Schizosaccharomyces pombe: one gene and its partners. Changing the gene in region 3 together with the main gene of any one other region gives a genetic interaction. Each region holds a gene or a part of one and is shown on either strand. Other genes may lie near its edges. The genes, in order: pdc202, rhp1602 and gar2.

Region 1 (3,756 bases), 1.3 Mb from region 3:
TTGACTTGAAAAATTTTAAACTAAAAAGTTGCTTTAAACATAAATTTAATAACTAATCATTATACTAAAAGACTATATGAATTGAATGGGCTTATCATAAAAAACATATAAATCAAAGGAAACTTTGTTTGCCAATTCCACTCTCAATAGCTTGCTCATTGCTTATTGATCTTAGACGTCAACTTGGCTTGCTCAACTAGGACACGAGGTGCATCCAACATAGGCATTACAAGCTCAACTACTTGAATGACATCTGCATTTGCAAACTCCTTGTCGCTAAACAACTTTTCAACGTCAGTAGGAGTTTTAACACAGTAAGTGCGGAAGTGGTTTTCAGCAGCTCCGAAAAACTTGGGAATCTGTTGGTAGCCCCATTTAGTGTTAATTTCGTTATAGCTAGCATGCAAACCATGAATTAAACGCTCAATGGTGTAACCGTCGTTGTTAATTATGAAAATAATTGGTTTGAGGTTATGGCGAATGCAGGTTGAAATCTCTGTAATCGTCAGTTGTAAGGATCCATCACCTACTACAAGAATGGTACGACGATCGGGCTCTTTAGAATCGTGGACGGCCAAAACAGCACCAAACATTGCACCAACGGAGTATCCAATAGATCCCCATAATACCTGGGAAATGGCTGTTACATCCTTTGGAAACCTGCAATCAAGGACACCAAAGTTTGCAGTTCCAGTCTCGGTGATCAAAACATCTCGGGGCTTCAAAAATTCACTAAATTTAGGCCAAAACCAGCAATGAGTAATCTCGTTGGAAGAATATCCTTCCGCATGCTTAGGCTTGATGTTGTAGCCAATGGTAGGAGCAGCCTTGGAATGACACATAGAAGCATCAAGTACTTTCAACAGTTTGCGAAGAATATACTTCATGGCTACATTTGGATAAAGAGCATATCGAATGCGCATGTGGTCTGAATGAAACTCAACGGCATTCTTTTGGCTGAGGTGGTAAGAGAAGGAACCCGTGTTAAAGTCTGATTTGAGAGCACCGATGGATAGCAACAGATCAGTGGATTCAATTCTGTCTTTAACTTCAGGATCTGAAATTGAACCAACATAAACGCCGTCAAAAAATTGCGAAGTTTCGTCAATTGCAGATTTACCCATGGGAGTTACATATGTAGGGAAATGGGTCAATTTAATCAGCTCATGTACTTCTGGAACGACACGATGTCTTACAGCACAAGCGTCAATTAAAATCACTGGTTTCTTTGCATTGACAACCATTTCCGAGATATGATTGATGACTTCTTGCTCAACTGCTGGATCGTTAGTATCCTCCTCGAGCTTTAGTCTTTTCCCAAGATTTGATGAAGATGCTTTGAAGTAGCCAGCATCAGAAGGAATACCAATGTAAACAGGCCTAGCCTTTTTATAACAAATCGACAAGGCTTCATCGATCTTTTCAGCTGCATCGTTTCCGTTATCGATCATTATACTGTAGGCAGAAACTTTCTTAAACATATCCATGAAAGTGCGAAAGTCTCCATCTCCTAAAGTATGATGAAGCAAAGCTCCAGTATCTTGCACCTTTGTGGAAGGCATTCCAACAATATGAACTACTGGGACATGCTCCGCATAAGAACCTGCCACTCCATTAATAGCGGAAAGCTCTCCCACGCCGAACGTTGTAACAATGGCTGAAAGACCATTAACACGAGCATAACCATCAGCGGCATAAGCACCATTCAACTCATTGGTATTGCCAACCCAACGAAATTTCTCATCTCCAACTTTCTCAATTAAGTCAAGTAGAGCTAAATTGAAATCTCCTGGAACACCAAGAATGGACTTGACCCCTAATTGTTCAAGCCTTTTGAATAGATATTCACCGACTAAAATATCCCCACTCATGTTTGATAATGCAATTTAATGTGCTTGTGAAATATACTCAACAAATTACAATGCTGAGTGTGTATTCCTTTTTCGCAAGATAATTATCTGTTGAATAACCAGCAGATACTTTCTGAACTTAAAGGAACAAGTGAGTTTGCTAGCTAAAAGTTAAAAAGATATAACCTTAGATGCTTCAGAGCAGGGTTACTCTGGCTATATAAGCAACATTCCGTCATCAATGATACATTGAGTTAATGTGGATTATTCTTTTTGAAACTCTTGGTACGAAACCACTCGTCAGAGGCTATTTCATTATTCGACTCAAATCTCACTATGTGCCACCCGGGAAAACGTCAACTATGCAATTTGCAATTATTGATTTAAGGCATCGTCAGCAGTTTATACTGGACGATTCTTCGGTTAGTGTAAGCAACTGCAGAAATTATTATGAAAACTCTACATCACCGAACGTTCCGTCTCGAAATTCTTAATTGTATCTATACCAAAGACAAAATTGATACCTTTTACATTATGTCTAAACTGAATTTAATGACTATTCCTTATTTCAAGCTTATTAATTTACATGCTTTATTGGTTTGTACCATGTTTGTTTGGATACTTAACATTGAGAGCTGAATGTGAAATATTGTTTCGTCCGTAAAAGTAAGGCGTACCTCATGGTTACGAGACCATGTGACCACTCAAAAATAGAATCCTCATTATTATAAAGTATCCAAAAGTCTTTGAACATATTGCTGTAATTATGATTTCACATGAATATTAACGACATTTTTCAACCGAGTTCACGATTTGCCTGACATCTAGCAATATCGATTTCACAATTGATGGACCATTTATAGGCTTCTTGCTTTAATTCTGATTATTTTTTTCATTGTTATATTGCTACAGTGTTAAGCTTCAACTTGTTGTTTTTCTGTTTATCATATTGATTTGCAAATTGTAACGCTCCTTGCTATCCTCAATAGTTGCCATGAGCCAAACGGTATAGCAAGAAGTGATCTCCAGCACTGGTTCCCCCACCCCCACATGATGTGTACATTTAAGAGGGCAGGTAACGCTAATAAATAGTATGATAAATAATACAAAATTACTGTTATAAAAATTTCAACAGATATCTAAAAAAAATTGATTTGATCATATCCCAAAGTATTGTAAACTCGCACAGGAGAATATTCTACCTTTAAAGATTTAGTTTTGTATTATGATTTTGTTTGACAAAAGTAATAGTCATGAGTAAATTGATTACTACATTTAATAAACAAATCTATATTCAAAATAGAAAAAAAAAATTCGCTACTTCGAAAGTGAAATTTAACAACATGAGACTTCAACCGAATTGATTTTATTTTTAAAGGAAACAGAACCAGAGCCATCAGAAAGACTCGGTCCTTACAACCGTTATGAACGGTTGTGGAAAACAGTATTAAAAAGAATAAAATCATGATAGCTACATATCATTGACATACACTTAACAAGGACATTGAAAAATGAGATTGGTGTAATCAACAGTAAATAAGTAAAAACATAAAGTTTGCACATATAGCCAAGAAAATAAATAAGCTAATACTTGCGAGCGACTTCAATAATAGTGCGAACTGGGCGTCCGCTCATGCCGTCACAATCCCAAGAATTAAGCTGCTTATCCATAACTCCGGCAATGTCTAAATGAGCAAAAGACAAATCTTTCTGGGCTAAGAAGCATTTAATAAAGGCAGCCGCTGTACAACAACCACCACCGGCACGACTAACATTGCACAAATCAGCATTTGAAGAACTTGTAAGTTGCTTGAGGTAAGCCTCGTGAAATGGCATACGCCAGAAAAGGTCTCCAGCATCATGGGAAGCAGTTTCAAGATTCTTCCACAACTCTTCTCCTTGAACA
Region 2 (3,756 bases), on a different chromosome or scaffold from region 3:
GTTCACTTTCTTCAAATTTACAAATAACCTTATACACCAAACGCTTTGAAAGTTTTAAAGCACCACCTGTACCATCTTTGCCCGCGTTTGCCTCTAACAAAGTCTTCGTTCGTCGTAACATGATTACACTCAGAAGCATTCGAAGTCTTTTAAAAACCAAGTTTTCCTCTCCTTGACATAAAGGTAAAGAAATTTGATCTTTCCAAACAGATTGGTCGTTAAATGGATTAATATGAAGAAATTTCACAAGTGAGTAAAGTTCATCTACATTGTTTTGTAAAGGTGTCCCAGTGAGACACCAGCGATTGATGCCCTGTAATGCGCAACAGGCAAGAGCTGATTTAGAAGATTTATTTTTTATAGTGTGTGCTTCATCCAGTATTATCCTCCACCAATAGAAGGCAAACAAGCTTGGCTTTTTCTTTTCATAACTTTTAGCTTCAGTAGGCGATTTGCCGTCTGTACCTGTAGTATTGTGAGACACCCATTCCGAAACTAGTATTTGATACGTGGTTATTACTACATCGTATTCGTGAATTACTTTAAGTAATTTATATCTGGATGCTCCATGATAAACGATTGCTGTCAACTTGCTTTTCGTCTGCACTTCTGATTCCCACTGTTTAATTAAACTGAGTGGAGCTACTACCAAAGTGGATTTGATTGAATGCTTCTTCTTTGGTAAGGGATGCGAAAGAATTAAAGCGATCATTTGAATAGTTTTTCCCAATCCCATCTAAAAAAATTATTAGCACTGAATAACAACAAATAATATTTTCATGACTTACATCATCTGCTAGAATTCCGCCGGAAGCCGAAGATTTAGACACCGTTTCTCTTGATTTGAGCCAAGTAAGTCCTTGGACTTGATGATCTAGTAGACGTATATGCATGCCAGGAATAAACGAGGACTGCCTCTGCATTGAATCGTCCTTAACATTGTCCAGCACATTATTCTCAAACAGTTTATGTAGCATTGCTTGAGTATTTTGGGAAGTTAAGATTTCTTCAGTGGGTATACCTATGGGGCCTTTTCTATTTTCAGAAGTTGGTTTATTGTGCTTACCAAAATATAGCGTTGAAGTAGAAGCTCTGGGAATTGGAATCACAATAGGCTTATCATTTATCAAGTCCGTTCTTTTCGAAGTTGCTTTATTTATTGAGACTTCAGGAACCTTGGTATATGGTTTCTTCCACGCACCAGATTTTACTGAGATAGGGGCAAATGGATCTTTCTCCCATTTCCTTATTCCCTCATCCTTACGTTCCAATTTTTTACTATAAAAAACCTGAGCTGGTTTACTAGTTATAGGCGCGGAGACGATTACTTCCTTTTCGTTTGTATCTATCTCCTGTCTCTTTAAGCTTTCAAAAGCATCAGAAAGAAAATGTTGGGTTTTCTTTTTATTCTTAGATTTTATAGATTGTTTTGGGATGGATTCATCTTCGCTTTTGGGCAACCTTGGTAATGAAGTAGATTCATTTTCTTTCCCTGCTGTATTTACACCGAAATTTTGTAAAAAAGAGTTATTCGCTTTTTTAACCCCACTTTCCTTATTTTTAGACGCTTTTTCCATCAAGCTCCCTCAAGCAAATTGCACTGAACGTGAACATTCAGTGGTAGTAGAAATAGCTTGTATACGATGGGTTCTTACTAAGTGAAGATTGGTGTCAAGAACTCAAATATTTCTATTTGCTTACTTTAATGTTTTTTTGAGTATAAAAGTAAACCCTACACAATATATCCACTAACACAGTTTTCGAGTCGAAATTTGTAAAGACTGCTCAAATCGACTATAGGATTTAAGAACTTGCGCAATGGTCCTAATTAACCGAACTTTCAAACAATTTTATAAGAATGTTTGCAACAAAGTGTCTGCAATTCTGGATTTAGTTCATAGTCTAACTTTTTGGAAAAAAAAATTTATATTAGAAATAGTCAAAAGTTATGGAAGTTTTTCAGCTTAGTTTTAAAATCAACGTATTAAGATAAACTGGTTATCAATGCGAAGATGATACCACATTTGCAGCATCACTATTAGTTTTCGAATTGAATCTCTTATACATTGACACTTATAAAGAAAAAAGCCCATTAGGGGTTGAAAGGCTACATTCTCCGGCCTTTCCTAAATAAGAAACATATTCAACCAGTCTGCCACTTTTAATAAGACAATGGTAAAGTTTTAAATCTTCACTGGCAACTTCGTTAGCCAGAGCAAAACAGCTATCATAGTCCTCAAGGCTAAAATAAACATTATGCAAACCGAGAATTAGTTCAGGCACATACAAATTCCGAATAGTCATAAGAGTTTTATAAAGCAAAGGATCATCATCTGGTTTCAGCTCCAATGTAGACGGGTGAAGCCAGTTAGCTTGAAGTAAGTCTGTGAAGGACTTTACACATTTACGAGAGGCAAAATTCAATTTTTTTTTCCAAACTTTATAAGAAGTGCTAGCTTTCGTAACTGCAGAATCTTCAAATACTTCTTGTTTAGAAAGCTCTTCCCATTCTTGATAAAATTTAAGTGCTCTGCAGAGAGCTCGATAGTTCATCAGTTCATACGCATCTCTAAACTTAGAATCGTTTTCGGGTTCACCATCGCTAGAGCTTAGCGTATTCAAAGCATCAGAGGGAATATGTGTATAAAGATCGTATGCACTATTTAGCTCGCCAATGCTTAAAAAGAAACGATATACAAGGTTTGCAAATCGGAGCAGCTCATCTGTCTGTGAAGTGATTAATAACCATTCAAGGGTGCAGATGAGCTTTTTATAAGATGGTTCAACTGGCTCCTCAATAGATTTTAAATATACTGTGTGAACTTCTTCGGGAGAAACAGAGACAACTTCATCATACACATATTCAACAGCTAGTAACGCCGCATGATTAATATCTAATGAATATTTTTTTGCTAATTGAAGTTGTTCTGATCTTGCACTTTCTTCATCAACAAGAATAAGGAATCGAGAATAAGCCTCGTACTGCACTTGATTTGATAGGTACTGAATATACAATGGAACCAAGTTAACTTTTTTAGCACTAGCCAATAACTCAATATACGCTTGGATAATAGAGTCAGAAGTATATTCATCCACAGCAAGACCTGAAATCTTCAAAAATAAAATTATGTGTGTCAGTATTCGAAGAAGAGGAGGTGTAACCAAATCCCCAGACTCAGGGGCATTTCCAGTCCGAATTGCTTCCAACTGTATGTGAGCAGAGCTCAAAATTTCCGAAATTTTATTACAAATGATATGAGTTTGAAGTTTAATTAGGGGATGTGATGCTTCTTCTTGGATTGAAGCAATAGAGCTGTTACTCAGCGAATTAAAAATCAATTCGGGAGTTAAGCCTAAACCACTATCCACTGGAGGCAATTGTGTTTCTGTTTGAGGAGCCTTAGAAGAAAGATAAACATCCAAATTGTACTGAGTCATACTATTATAATAAGCCCACATCGCATCCTCCCAAGTTGTGCACACATCAAGGACGGAGTTCAAGTCTCCACATAAAGCGCCATAAAGAGCGCGTTCATAAGAGTCTATCCGTTTATTTTTTGTAAGTGCTAAACATGATCTGCGCAAGAGTTCCTTTCTTTTATTACCGGAAGTCTCGGATTGCAAAACATCGTCGATGAGGTTATCTCTATACTCCAAAATTCCTTGAAGTGAAGCAGAACGCCAATGATTACCAGTTCTCCTACACAGCTCTAATAGTTCTTCAAAGCTTCCCGAACGAAATAAGCAGAATGCAGT
Region 3 (3,756 bases):
GGCCAACATATCTGCCACTTCTGCTAATCCTCAGTCACAGGGTGAAAATTTAAAAACTTTCGAGATTTATCGCTGGAACCCAGAGAAACCAGAAGTAAAGCCAAAGCTTCAAAAGTATACAGTCGACTTAACAAAATGCGGACCAATGGTTTTGGATGCGCTTATTAAAATCAAAAATGAGCAAGATCCTACCTTAACGTTCCGTCGCTCATGCAGAGAAGGTATTTGCGGGTCTTGTGCGATGAATATTAATGGCAGTAATACTTTGGCTTGCATCTGTAACATTAAAAAAGATAACAAACCTACTAAAATTTACCCCTTACCTCATTGCTTCATCGTAAAGGATCTCGTACCTGACCTAACCTACTTTTATAAGCAATATAAGAGTATTGAACCCTGGTTGCAAAACGATAACATCCCTAAAGACAAGGAGTTTTACCAATCTCGCGCTGACCGTGCCAAGCTTGACGGTTTGTATGAATGTATTTTGTGTGCCTGTTGTTCTACCTCTTGTCCATCTTACTGGTGGAACTCAGAAGAGTATCTTGGCCCAGCAGTTTTGATGCAGGCTTATCGTTGGATCATCGATTCTCGTGATCAAGCTACTGCTAAACGTTTGGATGTCATGCAGAACTCTATGTCTGTCTATCGTTGCCATACCATTATGAATTGCGCTCGTACTTGTCCCAAGGGTTTGAACCCTGGCCTTGCCATTGCCAAGGTAAAGGCTTTGATGGCTACTGCTTAAACAAGATTTACGCTTCTTTTTGTCTTTTCTTTCGCATCTGATGATTCCAATATTTCTTGTTAAAGAGGAACCCCCGTTGTTACTTAACCTATTTTATGTTTCTCTTCTACGATTTTTTTTACTTGCGTAGCTCTGTGTTTAGCTGTCATCTATGCTACATTACTTTCTCGATCTGACCATTACTTTTGCGTTGTTCCCGTTAATGAACCCTTTATTTTTATTTGCAATATCTAAATCTAGTTTACCATTAATAATTTCGGGAAATGGTAAACTTTTCTATTTTAAAGAAAATATGCTATTTCGTGGTAACTTGTGCACAATTGAATTGTTTGATTGTGATTTTTTACGCTGTTACATCAGATGAAATAATTAAGCATGTATTTGAAAATTATCTAAACCACTTTTTTCACTGTTTATTTGTGGCTAGTTACTGCATTTAACATAGCAGCTGCTTCTTTGGTTAAAGAGTTGAAAACTTTTTAGCATATTGAGAGCCCTTTAAGGTAATTGCTTTGTAAAACTTGAGATAAGTAAATGAGGCATCTTTTATTTAATTAAAGTATCACATAAAAACGGAAATCATGTACACAATAATGAAAGAAAAATAAATCTTAATATGACGATTAAACCATGGTATTCTCCATAGGCTGGTCGAAATTTTTTGTTACTATAACATGATTTTAAAATTTCAATGGATCAACAATGTACATTTTCACGGCCACTTTTTAGTTTATAATATTTGACGAACACAAATAACTTGGATAAGATGTTATCGTTCATAAGAATTTACATATTCACCACTCCAGATAATACTACGCAAGACTAAACCTAACTCCTTCGTTTCACTGATTCAACAATTTATTAAATTTCAATATGCTTTTTACCTTTAAGACATGTTATAAGCCTTCAGACACACTCATTTTTTAAATATTAATGGCGAATATTTTACTTTGCTGGTTTGTTGTTGAATAGCGCAGATAGCTATTACTTGATAGCGTAATTAGTTAAACTCGCTTTTATAAAAAATAGTAGTAGTTGAACAAGCTTCTATATTAGTAGTTTAACGAATACGTCTAGAAAATTTGCTATACTAGTATACGGCTTCAGGTACATATATCATCGGTAAAAATTTTTTTGGCTATATATAGCAGCTTGTCGCGCCGTACCAGCAGTCAAACTAAAAAACTCCCAAATTCTTTTAAACGGGCTTTTGGTATAGGTTGTGAATATAATGGCAAAAAAGGATAAAACCTCCGTTAAGAAATCAGTGAAGGAGACTGCATCAAAGAAGGGTGCCATTGAGAAACCTTCCAAGTCCAAGAAGATTACTAAGGAGGCTGCTAAAGAGATTGCAAAGCAAAGCTCTAAAACCGATGTCTCCCCTAAAAAATCTAAAAAGGAGGCTAAGCGTGCTTCTAGTCCCGAACCTTCAAAGAAATCAGTAAAAAAGCAAAAGAAATCTAAGAAGAAGGAAGAAAGCTCCTCAGAATCCGAGTCTGAATCTAGCTCATCAGAATCCGAGTCTTCCTCTTCAGAATCCGAATCTAGTTCTTCAGAGTCCGAATCATCTTCATCTGAATCCTCTTCGTCTGAGTCTGAAGAAGAAGTGATTGTGAAAACTGAAGAGAAGAAGGAGAGTTCCAGCGAATCATCTTCCTCCTCTGAGTCTGAAGAGGAAGAAGAGGCTGTTGTAAAAATTGAAGAAAAGAAGGAGAGCTCTAGTGACTCTTCTTCCGAGTCTTCCTCATCTGAATCTGAATCCGAATCTTCCTCATCTGAATCTGAGGAAGAAGAAGAGGTGGTCGAGAAGACTGAAGAGAAGAAAGAAGGCTCCAGCGAGTCTTCTTCTGACTCCGAATCCTCGTCAGATTCCTCCTCAGAATCTGGAGACAGCGACTCTTCCTCTGATTCTGAATCCGAATCCAGCTCTGAAGACGAGAAGAAACGTAAAGCCGAGCCTGCTTCTGAAGAAAGACCTGCTAAGATTACCAAGCCTTCTCAAGATTCTAACGAGACTTGCACTGTTTTCGTCGGTCGTCTTTCTTGGAACGTAGATGATCAGTGGTTAGGGCAGGAATTTGAAGAGTACGGTACAATTGTTGGTGCACGTGTTATTATGGATGGCCAAAGCGGTCGCTCAAAGGGTTACGGCTACGTTGATTTTGAGACCCCTGAGGCTGCTAAGGCTGCTGTTGCCGCTAATGGTACCAAGGAAATTGATGGTCGTATGGTCAACTTAGATCTCTCTAATCCTCGCCCAGCCAACCCTCAACCATATGCTCAACAACGTGCGGGTAATTTTGGAGACCAATTATCTGAACCTAGTGATACCGTATTTGTTGGAAATTTGTCTTTTAACGCAACTGAAGATGATCTCAGTACGGCTTTTGGCGGTTGCGGTGACATTCAATCCATTCGTTTGCCCACAGATCCTCAGTCAGGACGTCTTAAGGGTTTCGGTTATGTTACTTTCTCTGATATTGACTCTGCCAAGAAATGTGTGGAAATGAACGGTCATTTTATTGCTGGTCGCCCATGTCGTTTGGACTTTTCAACTCCTCGTACTGGTGGAGGTAGCCGTGGTGGTCGCGGTGGATTTGGCGGTCGTGGTGGATTCGGTGGCCGTGGTGGATTTGGTGGCGGACGTGGTCGCGGTAGAGGTGGTGCTCGCTCTGGAAACCCCAACCGTGGCTCGGTTGCTCCATTTTCTGGGAACAAAGTCACTTTTGACTAAGTATACTGGCTTTTAACTATATTGAGTTCATTTTTATGGGTTAAATGTAAATACCTTAGCAAATTAATATATGAGTTTGGGTTTTTGGGAAACTTTTTGGCATAAAGGGTTTTAATAAATGTTGGGCTGTGGATTTGATTTAATTGGGTTGAAGTATTCAAATACAAATGACTTGTTTGGGTTTGTTATGGAATGAATTTGGGTTTGGTTTGGTTTTATTGACTTTATAAAGATAATAAATATGGGCCCGTTGGTTTTACAATTTCAAAGCAGT

What was found.
Region 1: mutations in gar2 (region 3) and pdc202 together harm fitness more than expected from each alone (negative genetic interaction), as found in Schizosaccharomyces pombe (one large-scale study listed by BioGRID).
Region 2: mutations in gar2 (region 3) and rhp1602 together harm fitness less than expected from each alone (positive genetic interaction), as found in Schizosaccharomyces pombe (one large-scale study listed by BioGRID).

What each region holds. Positions count from the first base shown.
Region 1 is NC_003424.3:583,712-587,467, reverse strand, and holds the start of pdc202 (pyruvate decarboxylase), read right to left. Parts: upstream 1,872-3,756; coding exon 156-1,871; 3' UTR 1-155. Other genes in the region: ysp2 (peptidase family M17 cytoplasmic leucyl aminopeptidase yspII (LAP yspII)), read right to left, coding at 3,435-3,756.
Region 2 is NC_003423.3:437,201-440,956, forward strand, and holds the start of rhp1602 (DNA translocase Rhp16b), read right to left. Parts: upstream 1,609-3,756; 5' UTR 1,578-1,608; coding exon 789-1,577; exon of another isoform or gene 737-788; coding exon 1-736. Other genes in the region: nucleoporin Nup107, read right to left, coding at 2,074-3,756.
Region 3 is NC_003424.3:1,895,544-1,899,299, forward strand, and holds the start of gar2 (nucleolin), read left to right. Parts: upstream 1-1,918; 5' UTR 1,919-1,979; coding exon 1,980-3,482; 3' UTR 3,483-3,756. Other genes in the region: sdh2 (succinate dehydrogenase iron-sulfur subunit protein), read left to right, coding at 1-748. UniProt on the Schizosaccharomyces pombe protein: Helps the assembly of pre-ribosomal particles containing 18S rRNA.